2 linked regions of the Saccharomyces cerevisiae S288C genome follow. The protein of the gene in region 2 binds, or shares a complex with, the protein of the main gene of each other region. Each region holds a gene or a part of one and is shown on either strand. Other genes may lie near its edges. A codon is read from its position in the direction of its gene.

Evidence for each region.
Region 1: the proteins of HAT1 (region 2) and HAT2 are in contact, whole or in part, in a crystal structure (PDB 4PSW), measured with the Saccharomyces cerevisiae proteins. Residues at the interface, in NP_015324.1 of Saccharomyces cerevisiae: Tyr196 (codon at 3,546), Trp197 (codon at 3,543), Tyr199 (codon at 3,537), Gly201 (codon at 3,531), Ala202 (codon at 3,528), Phe205 (codon at 3,519), Asp206 (codon at 3,516), Asp208 (codon at 3,510), Ile209 (codon at 3,507), Lys211 (codon at 3,501), Arg214 (codon at 3,492), Ile252 (codon at 3,378), Thr253 (codon at 3,375), Val254 (codon at 3,372), Asp256 (codon at 3,366), Pro257 (codon at 3,363), Arg265 (codon at 3,339), Glu303 (codon at 3,225), Arg305 (codon at 3,219); in NP_010858.3 of Saccharomyces cerevisiae: His262 (codon at 5,194), Ser263 (codon at 5,197), Ser264 (codon at 5,200), Asn265 (codon at 5,203), Leu266 (codon at 5,206), Leu278 (codon at 5,242), Asp280 (codon at 5,248), Arg282 (codon at 5,254), Pro287 (codon at 5,269), Leu288 (codon at 5,272), His289 (codon at 5,275), Asp308 (codon at 5,332), Gly309 (codon at 5,335), Leu325 (codon at 5,383), Lys326 (codon at 5,386), Gln327 (codon at 5,389), Ile328 (codon at 5,392), Gly329 (codon at 5,395), Ala330 (codon at 5,398), Glu331 (codon at 5,401), Gln332 (codon at 5,404), Thr333 (codon at 5,407), Pro334 (codon at 5,410), Ala337 (codon at 5,419).

Annotation. Positions count from the first base shown.
Region 1 is NC_001137.3:42,758-51,945, forward strand, and holds HAT2 (Hat2p), read left to right. Parts: upstream 1-4,410; coding exon 4,411-5,616; downstream 5,617-9,188. Other genes in the region: HHY1 (Hhy1p), read left to right, coding at 1-203; phosphoacetylglucosamine mutase PCM1, read left to right, coding at 495-2,168; SDD1 (Sdd1p), read right to left, coding at 2,263-2,964; POL5 (DNA-directed DNA polymerase), read right to left, coding at 5,714-8,782. UniProt on the Saccharomyces cerevisiae protein: Regulatory subunit of the histone acetylase B (HAT-B) complex. The complex acetylates 'Lys-12' of histone H4 which is required for telomeric silencing.
Region 2 is NC_001148.4:549,342-558,735, reverse strand, and holds HAT1 (histone acetyltransferase catalytic subunit HAT1), read right to left. Parts: upstream 4,132-9,394; coding exon 3,007-4,131; downstream 1-3,006. Other genes in the region: PDH1 (putative 2-methylcitrate dehydratase), read right to left, coding at 1-351; citrate (Si)-synthase CIT3, read right to left, coding at 899-2,359; ESCRT-II subunit protein SNF8, read left to right, coding at 4,408-5,109; ULA1 (Ula1p), read right to left, coding at 5,328-6,716; lipid-binding protein LSP1, read left to right, coding at 7,079-8,104; AEP3 (Aep3p), read right to left, coding at 8,430-9,394. UniProt on the Saccharomyces cerevisiae protein: Catalytic component of the histone acetylase B (HAT-B) complex. Acetylates 'Lys-12' of free histone H4 in the cytoplasm. The complex is also found in the nucleus, however it is not certain that it modifies histone H4 when packaged in chromatin.

The sequences.
Region 1 (9,188 bases), on a different chromosome or scaffold from region 2:
CGATACCGCATTACGTACTGCGCTGCGGAAGTGTGGATGAGTGGCATATACACTCTTCTGCAGAGGATTTTCGTACACAACGGTGTGTGTGTGCTGTGAAGCTGTCTGCTTCCTTACTTGGCTGTTTGCTTGCTTGTGCGTCATGGTCACTTTTGTTAGAAGTGAGCCGCATAAAATGGCATGTCGGCACAGCCTACAGTTAAAAATTAAGCATATCTGACTGTTTATCTGTTTATCTGTTTATACACGGTGAACTGTCACGAGAACCCTTACTTGCACGATTAGCAGATTGTTCAGAGAGCCTCGCTCGTTGAAGTTCTTCTATATGCCAGCGTGTTTCATGTAGCAGGAAACGTTGCTCTATTTATATCTTTTCTGACATTTTGCGTCGTCGGGAAAAAAAAGATTAAGTAAGAACAAAAAACCGTTAATGGTTTCAGCAATCGAGACAAGTACAAGGACCAAGGCAAAGGTCAGCAGTAAGCTTAGAGACGATGAAGGTTGATTACGAGCAATTGTGCAAACTCTACGATGACACGTGCCGCACAAAGAATGTGCAGTTCAGTTACGGTACGGCCGGATTCAGAACGCTGGCCAAGAATTTGGATACGGTGATGTTCAGTACTGGTATACTGGCGGTTCTCAGGTCGCTGAAGCTTCAGGGTCAGTATGTGGGGGTGATGATCACGGCGTCGCACAACCCATACCAGGACAACGGGGTCAAGATCGTGGAACCAGACGGATCGATGCTTTTGGCCACATGGGAGCCATATGCCATGCAGTTGGCCAATGCGGCCTCTTTTGCCACTAATTTTGAAGAATTTCGTGTTGAGTTGGCCAAGCTGATTGAACACGAAAAGATTGATTTGAATACAACCGTCGTGCCTCACATCGTGGTTGGGAGAGACTCTAGGGAAAGTAGTCCATACTTGCTGCGCTGCTTGACTTCCTCCATGGCCAGCGTCTTCCACGCGCAAGTTTTGGACCTAGGCTGTGTCACTACGCCTCAATTGCATTACATTACTGATTTGTCCAACAGGCGGAAACTGGAAGGAGACACAGCGCCAGTTGCCACAGAACAGGACTACTATTCGTTCTTTATAGGAGCCTTCAACGAGCTCTTCGCCACGTATCAGCTGGAGAAGAGGCTGTCTGTCCCAAAATTGTTCATAGACACAGCCAATGGTATCGGTGGTCCACAGTTGAAAAAACTACTGGCCTCCGAAGATTGGGACGTGCCAGCGGAGCAAGTTGAGGTAATCAACGACAGGTCCGATGTTCCAGAACTGTTGAATTTTGAATGCGGTGCGGATTATGTGAAGACTAACCAGAGATTACCCAAGGGTCTTTCTCCATCCTCGTTTGATTCGCTATATTGCTCCTTTGATGGTGACGCAGACAGGGTTGTGTTCTACTATGTCGACTCAGGATCAAAATTTCATTTGTTGGATGGTGACAAAATTTCCACTTTGTTTGCAAAGTTCTTGTCTAAACAACTAGAATTGGCACACCTAGAACATTCTTTGAAGATTGGTGTTGTGCAAACTGCCTATGCAAACGGCAGTTCCACCGCTTACATAAAAAATACGTTGCACTGTCCCGTGTCTTGCACTAAGACAGGTGTTAAACACTTGCATCATGAAGCTGCCACTCAGTACGATATTGGCATTTATTTCGAAGCAAATGGACATGGTACGATTATATTCAGCGAAAAATTTCATCGAACTATCAAATCTGAATTATCCAAGTCCAAGTTAAATGGTGATACGTTAGCTTTGAGAACTTTGAAGTGTTTCTCTGAATTGATTAATCAGACCGTGGGAGATGCTATTTCAGACATGCTTGCTGTCCTTGCTACTTTGGCGATTTTGAAAATGTCGCCAATGGATTGGGATGAAGAGTATACTGATTTGCCCAACAAGCTGGTTAAGTGCATCGTTCCTGATAGGTCAATTTTCCAAACCACGGACCAGGAAAGAAAATTGCTCAATCCAGTGGGGTTGCAAGACAAGATAGATCTTGTGGTAGCCAAGTATCCCATGGGAAGAAGCTTTGTCAGAGCCAGTGGTACGGAGGATGCGGTGAGGGTTTATGCGGAATGTAAGGACTCCTCTAAGTTAGGTCAATTTTGTGACGAAGTGGTGGAGCACGTTAAGGCATCTGCTTGAAAGCATTATTCGATGTATAGTATAGCTATTTAGATATACAGAGAGATAAATGAAAGAGAAAAAATATTGGTATCAATCAACGTTTGTTACAGGCTTAGACTTTGGTTTGGTAATTGAAATTCATGGTAGTGGAAATAAACAAAATTTTCCTCTTCAATTTTTTTCGTCGTTTCGCTCTGCAATCGAAAATCAAATAATCTTCATAAAAGAAATCACTTTCAATAAATGAACTTCTCACTACCATAATGGATGATGTGGCCGATTCGAAAGCAATACGGTTGATTAACACGGAAACCCCGAGTGATAAGTCACCAAAAAAAATTCTCTTTACGATGAATGTTCCGAATTTGTTCTCCTCTTTACAGTTTTCGTTGGAAAGGTATTTATATGTAATTTCCTTCAGAATTCTCTTGTTTTCTATGTTGGCATTGTCGAGATGAACCTGTTTCAGTATGGCATTGGGAAAAAGTGTAGCTTGTAACTTTAAAACTTGATCATGCAGTGTTGCAGCTAAATTATCCAGAGTAAAAATTTCCTCTTTGGAGTAAATGCCTAGCAAGTTTTTCAGCTGACTACTCCAACCTCGCCTGGCCCTGTGCTTTCTACTTACACAATCTTTGTGATTTGGTGGTAAGGTTTTTGGAAAATGAGGAAGAGTATCTAGTTGTTGGGTAATGTTTCTTTCCAAGAATGATATTTTTTTCATTATGACGTCAATTTCTTTAGAATAAGCCGAGAACTGTACAGTTTTAAAACCCTTTCTGTTGTCATTCCTCTGAATCCCATCATTTGCCATTTAATTTTCAATTTAGTTACTAGTCAATTTTCTTTTTCGCCTTTTGTATTCCATAATATGAATATAAGCTTGGGCTTGCCGATTTTCTCCGCTTAATATTAAGCCTACGCATGATGTAGGTTACATTTTGAAGGGTTTCTTTTAACTTCCTTACTTATTTATATATGTATGAACCTACACAAGGCATTTTACCCTTATTTCTTCCCGCAACATTTGATAAAAAGTGGAAGACGTTTGTGATTGTTATTATCGCCCCAATTTTCTCCTTTTTTTCTTTTCCTTCAACGTCAATCAATTGCACATTCAGCCGATTGGCTTTCTTAGCGCAGGATAGGGTGTCGGGGATACCTGTGGGAAGTTAGTGACACTTTTTTTTCCACTCTCTTCATGGAATCCCCGGACGGCAGCCGCCCGTCCCAATTTTGGCAAAATTGACATCCTAACTGCACGAATTCTCATCGCGTATCAGAACTCTTGAGCCTTCAGTTTTACTACTCAATGCTCTGATTTATCTATATATACATAAATGAAAATAATACGTGCGCATTTATAAGACAAAAAGTTAGAATTCTGACCACGATTGCATGCTGTAGATAATTGTCGTGTTCATTCTCTCTTTAACGGCGCCTCAAGAAGAATATAAAATAATTGCTCTTGCAGTCTCAATGAGTCGGTATGTTCAAAGTGGTGCCCAACATTTACTAATATTGGACTGCGGTACAAAATCGGCGGCTAAACTGTCTACCGATAAAATACTCTTGATTTATAAGAATGAAAAAGAAAACAAAAAGGGATGACCCCTGAAAAAGTTTGTTTTCTTTACCCTTTTTTATGTTAAATTTTACATTTATTACCGTTTACGTCAATCGCAATATACAGGTGGGGCATTGTTATTTGATTTCATAATCTGGTGAGAACGTTATCACGCGGATTATTTAGTTTTTTTAAACCATGTGCGAAGAAATTCTCATATATTGTAGGCATTTCTGACTCAAACTTCTGCTGCTTAAAATAGCTGTTTTCACCTTTTTTTTCCTCTTGTTCTATTTGACATGCTCCCTTTCTTCCTCGGTCCTTTCAACCATTTCCATGCTCCTGTAGGCTCAGGAGCAGAGCGAGGAAAAAACTTCCCTACAGAAAGCTTTCATGTTTTTAACCGGTTTCCTTTCAGCTTTTTCTTTTGGAGTAATCTAGAAAGATTAGGTCATTTGTTCAGTCTATTTGATACTTGATGAGTAGCTCGTCTGTTCTGTTCAAAATAACAATTTGTGAGGTGTACGGATGTTTTCACTGGCATTCGTCGACATGACAAAGACAAACCTTGAAAATAATAATGGAGAATAACTAGAAAGACGTTACTATGCCTCTAATACTTCTGCCTCTCTTATCTCTCCTATCAATTGTGGTTAGCCTAGTAGTCACCAAATAGCAAATTACCAATCAACTATGGAAAACCAAGAGAAACCGCTTTCTGTAGACGAGGAGTACGATTTATGGAAATCCAATGTTCCATTAATGTATGACTTTGTTAGCGAGACACGTTTAACATGGCCATCTTTAACCGTCCAATGGCTCCCTACTCCTGTTCAAGAATTAGATGGTGGCTTTATTAAACAAGAATTAATCATCGGTACGCACACTTCTGGTGAAGAAGAAAACTATTTGAAATTCGCAGAAATTAATCTACCAAAGGAAATTCTTAGTAATGAAGACCCACAAGAAGAAGCAGGAGAGGAGTATCAGTCCTCTCTACCTGCTCCTAGGTCAAATATAAGGATTACCGCTAAATATGAGCACGAAGAAGAAATCACTAGAGCCCGATATATGCCTCAAGACCCTAATATTGTCGCCACAATAAATGGGCAAGGCACAGTTTTCCTCTATTCTCGCTCAGAAGGTCTTCAGTCAACACTAAAATTTCATAAGGATAACGGTTATGCTTTATCATTTAGCACTTTGGTCAAAGGGCGATTGCTTTCCGGCTCAGATGATCATACAGTCGCTCTCTGGGAAGTGGGGAGTGGCGGTGACCCTACAAAACCAGTACGAACTTGGAATGATTTACATTCTGATATTATTAATGATAATAAATGGCACAACTTCAATAAAGATCTATTCGGCACTGTTTCAGAAGATTCTCTCTTAAAAATAAATGACGTCAGGGCAAACAATACTACGATCGATACTGTGAAATGCCCGCAACCTTTCAACACATTAGCATTTAGTCATCATTCCTCAAACCTCCTTGCGGCCGCAGGTATGGACTCGTATGTTTATCTATATGATCTAAGAAACATGAAGGAACCATTACACCATATGTCGGGTCATGAAGATGCAGTGAACAATTTGGAATTTTCAACCCATGTTGACGGTGTAGTTGTATCCAGCGGGTCAGACAATAGATTGATGATGTGGGATTTGAAACAAATTGGAGCAGAACAAACACCTGATGACGCGGAAGACGGCGTTCCTGAATTGATCATGGTCCACGCAGGTCACAGAAGTTCAGTGAATGATTTTGATTTGAACCCTCAAATACCTTGGTTGGTAGCAAGTGCTGAAGAAGAAAATATTTTACAAGTTTGGAAGTGTTCCCATAGTCTACCCATCGTGGGAGGTCCACCAAAGGTGAACAAGGATATAATAAGCTAATATATAGTTTTTTTATTGTTTCTTTGGCGAAAAGGCGTAATTAAACAAAGATCAACATACATAATCCGATTTTGAGGAGTGATAAAATATACTTAGATTATTCCTTATCCATTACAGTTTGCTTTTTTGAAGATAGCCAATTGATGAAATCAATAAAAATGTTAGGTCCACATTTTCCTTTTTGCATCCACTCTTTGGTAGTTGCAGTATACAAGTCAATCAATTCGTCAAGCTTGTCGTTACCACCGATTTCAACGTATAACTTACTCAAAAACAGTGAGCTGGTTGAGCACATTGAATAAAACACTGCAGCATGCTGACCTGGCTTAGAAGTCAGCATCAGCTTGTGTGTTTTTTTCAACAAATCCATAAGCTCGATGTCTTTGTTCATGTCTTTGAATGCAGTTACTTTTATCTTGAATATTTTACCCTTCAACAATTTAGAAATTTTGTCGGCAAGTGGCCTATCAAGAGTTTCATTGACACATTTCAGCATTGGGATAATAAAATAAACGAGCTTGCTTAATGAGCCTCCTAAATTGTTGGAATGTTCACTTTTATTAGCAAGAGTCAATTTTTCACAATATTTGACGTAAACGGCTAACATGTCGACAACTCTATGCTTGAACGAGATAACGTTTTCCCTAGATTGTTTTACCTCAAATTTCCTCTGGTTTCCAGTAGATATGCTTGATAATGCTTCCTTACGACGTTTGAAAATTTCGGATAACTGATCATCTAATTCCATCATTTTTTCATCATCCATAGACTCCTCATCTTCATCGTCTCCACCGTCGTCAGAAAGCCCTTCGAGTTGGTCTAAGTCAACTTCCCCTTTATCATTAACTATGTTATCGGGTAAATTTAACGCCTTCACTAAGGCGCTAGTGGCCTCTTTATCAATATTCAAAATATCTTCATTTGCCTCGTCTTCTTCATCTTTTTCATCAGCATCATCGCTATCACTCTCACTTTCACTTTCACTTTCACTACCAGTTTTCGATTCGTCTTCACTGGCATCATTTTCTTCCTTAATTTCTTCAAATTCTTCTTCTCCTTCGAATAGCTGGGCAAAACCTTGCTTGTTTTCTCTCGCTTTTAAAATATCTAATAAAATTTGCAATTCTTCCAAACCAACTTCTTCAATAAACTGCTGCCAGATTATTAAACTCAATTTCCTGAGTAAGGCCTTCTTTTGGGCTAAAAGTGATAGTAAGATTTCAGTGATGCCTACCATTGAGTTATTCTCGTGTTTGGAAAATTCGCAAAGTTCTTCGATCACAGAAATAGAATCGGTGTCACCTGCATATAATTGTACTAAGCACATAGATAACAACGTGCTTAGACCCCAAGATTGAGCAGTTCTTGATCTGCAAACTTTACTCAAGCAAGATATAGCTTCGTTTTTTATATTTTCTAAATTTTCGTCCAGTGGATTGATTAAATCTCCTACATGAGAATTTTCAATGTCCAGTATTAACTTTAATGTCAGATATTGCCATGAGTTTATTTCAGGATCTTTGCAACGTATTTCTTTGTTTATTGTCAACTCTCCCAGGATGGAATAAAGTCTTTCCTTGGCTAATTCGTGTAGCTGTTCTAACTTCAGATCATCTGATGTATGTTTGAAGAAAGCCATATATACGATGGGTCTCAACACGGGCTTCATTATGTCCATGTCATTGATTTCGACTTTGTGTGCACGAACTATATGAAGGATGGAATCAAGAGCAAAAAGGGTATGAGATAAAACTCCCTTTTTATCTTGTAACTGTAGAAAAAACACATCGAGTAATTGGGCAAGAACAGTAGAAGGTAATTCTTTAATTGCAATAAGTTTGGAAACGGTGCCAGATTTTGTTAACTTATCAAAGTTTATGGAACCGTGAGGACCAAATAACATTGCATTTAAACAAGGTACTAGTCTGTTTGCAGAATCTTCTTCACAAGCCTTCACTATGGAGTCTAAAGTTAACTGGGAAATCTTATTTAAAACTCTTTGTGAATCTATTGATTGGTTGATCAATGTTCTCATAACGTTTTGGCTGAAGCAAAACCCGATGTACGAGCCAGGAACTGCCTTGAAAGCCGCGTCGATTATTAGAAAGCCTAAATATTTTCTTTCACTAGAAGCTTTCTCATTGAAAAATGATTCGTCCACGGCCATTTTCCAAAACTCTGGAAATTGAATTGAATTCTGAACCTTTTTATTGTTGGTTTTCTTCCTTTTCTTCGAAATATGACTAGTGTTCTCTAATTTTCCATTACCAAACAACGGTAGCAGAACACTCCAAACAAAATGCAGCCTAGGGTTCCAATTCGTGTTTTTTTGTTTTTTCGTCTCTTTTAAACCTCCATTGGCATCCGGAATTACAGAAGAGTTTCTCAATACTTTTGTTAAAAGGGGCAGATTTCCTCTTGCCAGAGGGTCGTTATCCTTCCAACCTGGATTTTTCAAATCCAACACCGAGGGAATTAGACTTTCATCACCTTCATATTTCAGCAACAAATAAGTTGACAGTCCCTCATTTGTCAGAGTCAGGTCATATTTATCATATATCAGAAGAATTTTTTCAGCGGAACTTTCATCCATAAAAGGTAGCAGCATTTTCATAGTCTGGAAAAGGGTAAAAAAGCATGGTTCTTTGATCCAGTTTTTCTTCAGGGCCAGATCAATTAGCTGTTCCGTGAATCGAATGAAAAACTCGGTGTTTCCTTTTTCCAAATCTTTAACAAATATTTCTGAGAATAAAGGTTCATTTAGTAGAGATTTCAAGCCAAATAACTTCCCAAATAAAATTCCACGCTCATCTTTGCCCTTCATGGATTTTTTTGTTCCCTCATTGACATTAACGTTCAAAATGGTTGATAAGGTGCTCAAGAACTCGTTCGTTGATTCTAAACCTTTTGGTCGTTGACCTGGTGGCATATTAACAGCTAAATTGATTACTTCCGTCAAACATAAAGAAAATCCTAACCTCGCGCTATTTCTGTCAGACGACAAACCCTTGATTAAACGATTCAATACATAAGACCATTCTTCTGCATCGTCGGGCAAATCTAATGCGGATAAGTCCTTTATTAATGCGACAGCTGCATGTAGACGCTCTTCTCGAAGATCAGAAGCTAGTTTAAAAAAAAGGTCTCTGTTGACTTTCCCTGTCATTTTTTTTGTGGACAAAAAGATGCACTTGTGGAAAGAATCACCCTTGTTAATGGATACCCGATTCAAACTTCGAATTAAGTGCAAACCGCAGCCTCAGATTAATGTTAAATTGCCCTCTAAGGCAATTCTGGCCATCGCAATAAAATTTTTCGTGTTATTCACGCTTTAAAGGCCGGGTAAAATGATAGCGTCCGTTGATTTTGAAGACTATTACTTTTGCGGATATTTTATGTCCGGTCTATCATATTTACCAATGCAAAATAATATTTTGATAGTTTTTACCGCAGAGGCAGCCAGTAAGTTGGGAAGTTGCTCAGACCCATAGATACATACGCAGGAAAGGTTTTGTTTTCCTCCTTTCATTATTGCAATTAACGTATACATAACTTGAAAAGCTGATGGGTGT
Region 2 (9,394 bases):
AATGGCAAAAGCTCCCTTCACTGGATCCATAACGTAAGATGTGCCCAATATTTTTGTTCCACTGGGAACTATTGTTCCTGGCACAATTGGTTTAATAATATTTTGAGCCTGCTTAAATTTCAAAGCCGCCAAGCCACAGCCTAGAGTATCAAGGAAACAGAGTCGTGCTGTATCTAGAGCCAAAGATGATTTTAATGGGGTTTCATGGACATATTTCGCGATGTCCTTCAAAACCTTATCTGGATTTGGTCTTTCATTAGTTTGTATAGACGCTGTACTCAGCGCAGCAAATTTCTTTTTAGGCAAGCATACCTTGATTTTATTATTTTTTAGATTTTTGGCTAAAAACATTCTGTTTGCTCTCGATCATCAGAGAACAGTAGAAAATACCAAAATACTATTTGAGAAAGTCCTAATAAGTTATACATACATTATGGCAGATTTATATACCTTATACACTTTCTTTGGTCATGCTTTCACATTAGTGAAGGTAAACATATGAGGGTAAAAGTTGAATGACTAGAATGTGGAGAAATAAGGTCATCTCAATAAAGTTTGTAAACGGCCCGAGGTCCGACATCGGGGAAGTGGCTACCTATAGACAGCATCATATATCAGAGAGATTGGGGACGAAAAGCGCGATGTGGTAAAAAAATAAGTCAAAACTCCAGAAATAATACAATCAGAGAAAAAAAAAAAAAATAAGAATATATTTTACTAACGAGATTGGAATTGCTGAATAATTTTTTGATAGGTGTGTTAACCGACCATATTTTCCCCTATATGTTTTCATGATGAATATGTATAAATTAGCTATGATTAGACATGCTGTATGGAATTTTATTTATATTTCAATATTGTAATAGCAAACGAAGCATTCTTGTAAATTGGAACTGCGTTACAACTTGTTAACATTGCTTGCTTTGGTAAGTGCTTCCAGACCCTCCAAGTTCAAACTCTTGGGCCTTTCAATTGGTAAACCTAGAATGCGATCCCAAACAAGTTGTGTCAAGGGTCCCATGGCCCTTGAACACCCAAAAATGACGGTAAAGAATAATAATTCCCTGATTCCATAATGATAAAACAAAATCCCCGATGCAGAGTCAACATTGGGAAATGGATTCTTACTCTTTCCGTGTTCCAACAAAACCTTAGGCGCTATTTCTGCCAATTTTTGCATCAACAAAACGTTCTTGTCGTTCTCAAATTCAATAGGCCTCTTTTGCGCAAATTCAAGCATTGCTGTAAATCGAGGATCCGGTTTACGCAAAACTGCGTGCCCATAACCGGGGATCACACGGTTTGAATTCAAAATTTTCCAAAGATAATCTTTGATTTCTTGTTCTCGTGCAATGCTGGAAATATTAGAGTTCATCTCTATGAGAAACCTTACTACTTCTTGTGCTGCTAACCCATGCAAAGGACCCGCTAATCCCATTATTCCAGATGAATAGCTGAGATACGGGTCACTCAACGCACTTCCAACCAAGTGGGTGGTGTGAGCAGAAACATTACCACCTTCATGGTCTACATGTATACCGGTATATAACCGCATCAAGTTTATGAAGTCCAGGGATTGCTGGGAAGTAAGGTTGCATGTATTAGAAGAGTTCGTTCCATTTGTCATGCCGAGCAGGGAACATATGTTTGTACACCAATCCACCTCCTCACTATATTGACCTAATGGGTGTCCCTCATTTGTAATGTTCGAATAAATTCTCCCAGTCAGCAGCGGGAGTGAAGCAATTAAATTTAGCGAATCTTCAAGAGTATCTTTCCAAAATTCCATCTTTCCTATGAGGCCCTTTTGGTAGTTTGTAGCAAAGAGGGATCCTTTGTTCATTGATGCTAAACCAATTGCAAGTTGGGTCATAGGGTGCATATCTTTGGGTAAACTTGACAAAACTTTCTCTGTATAATGTGGCAATTTCCTTCCACGAATAGCCAATTCTTTCCTGAAAGAAGCAGCTTGCTGGAAAGTTGGCACACCACCTGTCATCAACAGCCATAACATTGATTCTGGCAGGAAATTATCGCCATCAATACCTGTATTAGGTAATCTATTTTGACATTCTTCAATCGTTAAACCTTGAAATTTAATGCCATGTTCGGGATCTAATGATGTTCCTTGCCAAAACATTGACTGATTACCTCTCATCCCACCTAGAACTGATGAAATGGTAATCGGTCCGACAAACGTGCTGCCATAACAGGCCTTCAATTTCTTCACAGCATCTCTTTTCTTAGGTATCACGTTTTCTAATGCTTCCTTGAGAGTCAATGCAGAAGACTTTATAATTGCAGACGAATTGAAGGACCTTCTGCATATATGTGCGCCCGGTAGAAGCCTTTGTACCATTTTGTATTCAATTATTTAGCGGCGTCTATGTATAAATTCTTGATCAAATACGATCTTTTTTTTATGATTAGAATGCTTGACAAGCCAGTCATCTTAAATACATAGGGATGAAAAAGCTTTATCTCCTATTTAAGGTCATCCATTTTCAGTGTGGAGTAAGTCATCAAAACTGCTATTTAGCCGCTTTGCCGATTTCGCTTTAGAACCGCTACCATGGTGTGTCACTTCCCCAATTTTATTTTTCTGTTCAAATTGTTTGCTCATAGAAATATTTATGTTTTTTTGTCTTTCAACTGAATAATATTTCTATTTTCGGAAATCTTAACCAACAAAAAACAATTTTTTATTTTTGTTTAATTTAAAGAAAAAAATTATTTTTATAATTAAAAAAAATTAAAAATAAAAAATATATCATGTGATCTATTTGTGATCACTACCATGATAAGAAATTTTATATCAGTCAAGATAATCTCTTTAATATAACCTGTAATTTAGAATTACGACAACATAACGGCTTCAACCTTTGCATAAGCTTATATTAACTATAGAGACACTTTGATGATCATCTCGATGATGTATTTATAAAAGAATTTCTTATTTCAGGCTTGTTAAACAAATAAATATGTTATTATATATTTAATAAACAGTTAACCTTGAGATTTATTTATCGACTCTATAATACGCCTATAATCATCTTTGACTAAAATAAATGAATTTTGTAAAGCTTCTCTTGCCTTTTCTGGATCAGTTTGATCTAGGGCATCATAATTTTTAATGTACAACCTATTCTTTACCTTTAATTCAAATGATGGAGAATTGTTTAAAAGAAGAAGCATTTCCACAAGACGATTAAACTGTCTTTCTTCCAGTTTTAAAGATTTTCGGCTTGACTCCAAAAACTCATCAGAAAGGTCGGAGTGCTTCTGAAAGACAGCATCATAACCAAGTTTTCGCAGTCTTTGAATATCATTCCTGTCGCGAAGATCGTCAAATGCTTCGTTTGGATCCTCTACAGTAATTTCAGTAATACTTTTGTCTTCTAGCCAAGATTGGATTATAGCCTCATAAAGACAGGATCCGTGGCCTTTATTTTGATAAGGTGGAAAGATCAGAAATTGAGATATTTTGGCTCTGAATTTTTTATCTATATCCTCATCGAAAGATTTTGCTCCAAGGTAGTGCCAATACTTGTAAGTAGTGACGAAACCAATCAATTCTTTTGTTTTCTTGTTCAACAACCAATAGATTTGCCAACTCGGGTCAGTCTCATCTATATAGTTAGCGGCTTCGATAAAAAGTAATGAAAAGATTTGAACACGACGATGCATTCTCCTGGCAAAATCGTCAACCAAACTCGATTTATATACAACAAATTCTTCCCCATTCAACGAATACTCTGATACTTTTTCAAAAACATCAGATAAATTATGTGTTTTTCGTTCTTCTGCAAAGCAATCTACCCATTTAGCTTCATCCCTAACAATTACATCATCCTTTGGTAGAAATGAGAGTAATTTTTTTTCCACGTCTACAATATTGTCGTCTCCTAATTTTGCTGAATACTTGACGTTAACATACGGCTTGAATGTTACTGAATCAAATGCTAGGTGGATGATGAGATCCTTATAGCCGTAGATCTTTTCGGAGTCACCGTAAATTGGATACGTGAATAATGGTGAAAACTGAACAGCGTTTTCTCCAACTATAGAAACTCTTAAGGCTTCGTTGGCGCTTGAAGTCCACGTTTCAGGCTTGAAATCATTGGCAGACATATTCTTGATTCTCACTATAGTTATAGCTTAAGCATAATTTTGCTGAAAACAATTCCAGAAAGATCTATTCCTAACTTCAAGTAGAAATACATAGAAATCTAATAAATTCGTTATTCGAAGACAATATATTTATCACTTATAACGGTGTGCTATTTCAAGAACTTAATCCATCAATTCTGGGATATATTATAACCTTTTGAGGCGATGCAGTAGACCAAAGACTTTACCACGACTTGAAAATGCTTGGCGTAACAGCCAACTTCGAAACTCACTAACATGAAACAGTTTGGACTGGCAGCCTTTGACGAGTTGAAGGATGGAAAGTACAATGACGTAAACAAAACCATACTTGAAAAGCAATCTGTCGAACTAAGGGACCAATTAATGGTATTCCAAGAACGACTGGTAGAATTTGCCAAGAAACACAATAGCGAGCTTCAAGCTTCACCTGAATTCCGCTCAAAATTCATGCATATGTGCTCATCTATTGGGATTGATCCCCTATCTTTATTTGATCGAGATAAGCACTTATTTACAGTGAATGATTTTTATTATGAAGTATGTCTTAAAGTTATAGAAATTTGTCGGCAAACTAAAGATATGAATGGAGGCGTCATTTCTTTTCAAGAGTTGGAGAAGGTGCATTTTCGTAAGCTGAATGTTGGACTCGATGATTTGGAAAAATCTATCGACATGCTAAAGAGCCTAGAGTGTTTTGAGATATTTCAAATTCGCGGCAAAAAGTTTTTACGAAGTGTTCCAAATGAGTTGACATCAGATCAAACAAAGATTTTGGAAATATGCTCAATTCTGGGCTACTCAAGTATCTCTTTATTAAAGGCAAACTTGGGATGGGAGGCTGTTAGGAGTAAATCTGCTCTTGATGAAATGGTCGCTAACGGTTTATTGTGGATTGATTATCAAGGTGGTGCAGAGGCGTTGTATTGGGATCCCTCTTGGATTACGAGGCAACTGTGAGATAGTTGACTTGAACAGGAATGGTGGATGAGCGTTAAGTATTTATCGATGTTGTATTTTATTGAGCACAGTTCTTACCGGTGATCTCTCGTTGTTGTAAACATTCGATATCATATGCATCATAAAAGTTTACATTTAGTCTTTATTTGCATCAACGCAAACCAGGGAAGTACAATAAAATAAGCATTCTATGAACTCGGAGAGCTGACGAAAAAATTTTATATTTTATATGTTGCGGATGAATTATTAATGCCATTATATAAAAATAGGTTATCAATAGGAACGTAATGGTGTGTGATAAGCTTTATAGCCTCTTGAACCACTGCACCTCCAAAAAAGGCCATTACGGAATAGTTATCGTCGACTCGTAAACCAATAAACTCATCTTTATCCTCTGCAGTTACTGCCGGTTGCTCCCAGAATTGGACCATAACTAATGCATCTAAAAGGGCATTCGAGGTGCTAAAAATACCTAACAAGTCACTTTTTGGCGGCAATATTTTCCTGACCTCCCCGTAATGAGAACAAAATGTCTCCAAGACATCCTGTGAAACTATTTTTTTACTGCGAGCCAAACTTTCCTCCACACGAGACTTGTCAAGCTTTGCTTTTACTTCATACAGTTTCTTGAGTCTGATATAATTTTCCGTTGTTGACTCCATATCTGGGAGAGTGCCCGTTAAAGGTTGAAAGCTGAGCTCCCCATTCTCTTTAGCAATATTTTTCAAAGTCAATAATAGTGTGAGAATCTCGTAGTTATAAGTATCATGCCAATCGTTCCCATAATCTGATATTTCCAAATTTCGGAGCAGATCTTCCAGTTCTTTACAACAATCATTTTGAGAGCAGGCCAAGTAAGCATAGCGTTTAGCTTCCACATAATTGGGTTCGTAGATAACATCATTCCCTAAAGGAAGGCAAATTTGGTCTAAAACTTTCTTCATCTGATCAATCGTTATCCTCCCATTATTACCATCCCTTTCAAGTTTTGCAATACACTTCATGAGCAAAACAGTATATGGAATACCAGAAAACGTGGCTGTATCCATTTTACTTAGGTCAAATGTATCTACGTAATTTATTAGTTCAGGCCAAGGGTTCTGTAACCGTAAATCATACTTCTTACTATCTGGGTGTGCTTGCAAAACAAAATGTGTTTCTGAGAGTACCAGATATATATATCCATAAAATCCAGAGACGAAAGTGTTTAGAACAGGCGGAAACTTTGTTCCTCTCTGCCGCCTAATCTCATTTAAATCGAGCATCGCAGTTTGCTCACCAATACAAGTCAAGATCACCACCGAGAAGCGGGTCCAATCATACTGAGGTTGCTGTAACGTCTTTCTAAGGTCATTTTCCTCATATTCTAGCTGTTTAGAAGCCAATGGCTCAAGATCTTTTTTAAGCTCTGCTAAAAACAGAGAACCCGATTGAACTGCACACTCTACTTTGAGCCAAGTAAGAGATGATATTCCGGCAAGCACCAGATTCTTAAAAACTTCCTGCAGCAAAGGTGTAGCAGGTCCTACCACGCACACACGGGACCGGTTCAAACTATCTTGGCCCAATGCTCCCCATAGTCTCAGCTGTCTATCATATCTTTCCATATTTTCATCTACGGCTGTCTAGTTGGCCTAAGAAAGAAAGAGAGGCGACTCATTTTTTTGACGTCAATCGTCTGACTTGTCCTTCTATTTCATTGCTAGGCTAGAAAGCTTAGCTCTTACAACCCCGCTCGTTGCAGCCGAGTGAAAAGGGGATTGCGAAAGGCGTTAGAGGGGATAAAAAGGGGCCCTTTAAAAAAAAGACGGAAAAACCGGGAAGATGCAACGGCTAAATCGCAATATATAAACAGGTGAGATAGAAAAGAAAAAAATCAGTTAACCTCTTTCCTCAATTCCAATGCTTGACCGTAAATTCTCTTTATTTGGTATACGAAAGATTAAACTTTCAAAGCTCCAACACAAGAATGCACAGAACTTACTCTTTAAGAAATCAAAGAGCTCCAACGGCTGCTGAGCTACAAGCTCCTCCACCACCACCATCCTCAACGAAGTCCAAGTTCTTCGGAAAGGCCTCTATTGCGTCTAGTTTTAGAAAAAATGCGGCTGGTAACTTTGGGCCAGAGTTGGCTCGTAAATTATCTCAATTGGTTAAGACTGAAAAAGGTGTCCTTAGAGCTATGGAAGTTGTTGCCAGCGAACGCCGTGAAGCTGCAAAGCAACTGTCTCTATGGGGTGCTGACAATGATGATGATGTTTCCGACGTAACCGACAAATTAGGCGTCTTAATATATGAGTTGGGTGAACTACAGGACCAGTTCATCGATAAATATGATCAATACAGAGTCACATTAAAATCAATTAGGAACATTGAAGCCTCTGTTCAACCTTCGAGAGATCGTAAGGAAAAGATCACAGATGAAATTGCCCATTTGAAATATAAAGATCCTCAATCAACAAAAATCCCAGTTTTAGAGCAAGAACTAGTTCGTGCCGAAGCTGAATCTTTGGTTGCGGAGGCTCAATTATCGAATATCACACGTGAAAAATTAAAGGCTGCTTATAGTTATATGTTTGATTCATTAAGAGAGCTTTCTGAAAAATTTGCCCTGATTGCTGGATACGGAAAGGCCTTATTGGAGCTGCTAGATGACTCTCCTGTCACTCCAGGTGAAGCTAGACCAGCGTACGATGGCTATGAAGCTTCTCGCCAAATTATTATGGATGCTGAATCGGCCTTGGAATCTTGGACCCTAGACATGGCTGCAGTCAAACCAACTCTTTCATTTCATCAGACCGTTGATGACGTCTATGAAGACGAAGATGGTGAAGAAGAAGAAGAACCTGAAATCCAAAATGGAGATATCCCCGGTCAAGTAGTCGAAGAAGAGGAAGTTGAATGGACTACTGAAGTTCCTGTAGATGATGAAGCCCATGAGGCCGATCATCATGTTAGTCAAAACGGTCATACCTCCGGTTCTGAAAACATCTGAGTTTTTTCTAATAATTAATATATTCGAACCTTTCTATATTGTGCTTGTTTTTCACCAGCTCGTGTCTACCTATTATTAATTTCATCTGAATTTGGTTCAAGTATTGTTCGGCCAATATTCCGGTATTGTAATCACCTTTATAATTAATTGAACAAATTTTATAAGACCTAATAATTAACCTTTCTCTTGTTCTCCTTTGCCGTAAGAGATTCAACTTTTCGAAGTCTAATTAAATGAATATGATCTATGAAGTATATATGTACAATAAAAATGCCTATATTAATAAAATTCCTGTCCAAATGCCAGGGCACTTATGCCTCCCTCATCAAACCTCCCCAACTATTCTCCTCTTTACTAGCTCTTTTTTGAAAGCTACATCATTGTCTTTGATATACGCCATTCTTTTTTCCAAAGCAGCCTTTGTGGCTATTGCTTTAACCCGATTTCGATATTCTCTTTTTTTCTGGGAAATGTTTGAGGGTAGGTTTGTGGGCTTCTGATGATCTTGTGCTGTATTGGTGCAGCGTAAAGTAGTGGGGATACAACCCAAAAAACGTAGTATTTTTTTTTGTGAAGAATCACTTTCTTTCCAAATTTTCCAAGAGAACTCACCCTCGGAAGCAATCAGGTTGCCCAACAATTTTCTTGCTTTTTCAATTGACTTTTCTGATAGCGTATTAGGACTACCAAATTTGAAAATTGAGTCTGCTTTGGTTCTCCAATAACTTGTCCGCAATCCAAATCCTTCACTAACCTTTAAGTCTTTGATATACTGTAGGACTGCCCCAAAATTCTTGGTGTTGCCATTCCTAACTAACGCTTTAAATAACATTTCGAACGTCTGAGAATCAGGTTTAATTTTGTAAATCTTACGACAAGTATTATAGCAAAGGAATGCCAAATCACTTCTTCCCTTATTAGCAAATACCCGCATGAAATGATTCATTGCCTCCGAGTCCAACTTAAAATTACTTTTCAAGTGCTGAAAACCATAGTCAAGTAATTTAGATGCGGTTTCAAGTTGTTCCTCGTTTAGTAGTCGTTCTATGCACAGATAGAACGTCTTACGGGAAATCGGTAGTGAATTTGCTGCTAAAACTTTTAAACAGTCCTCTGCTCTATAATCTCCGTTCCTTAGCACAGTATAAACAAAATTTACGTTAAAATTTCCTAAATGTTCACCCATTTGAACAATGTACAATTGTCTCGAAACTTCATCACGAAGAAAGTTATAACATGTCGTCCAAGTTATTACATCTGCAAAAACTCCATGATTACGCATACTTCTAA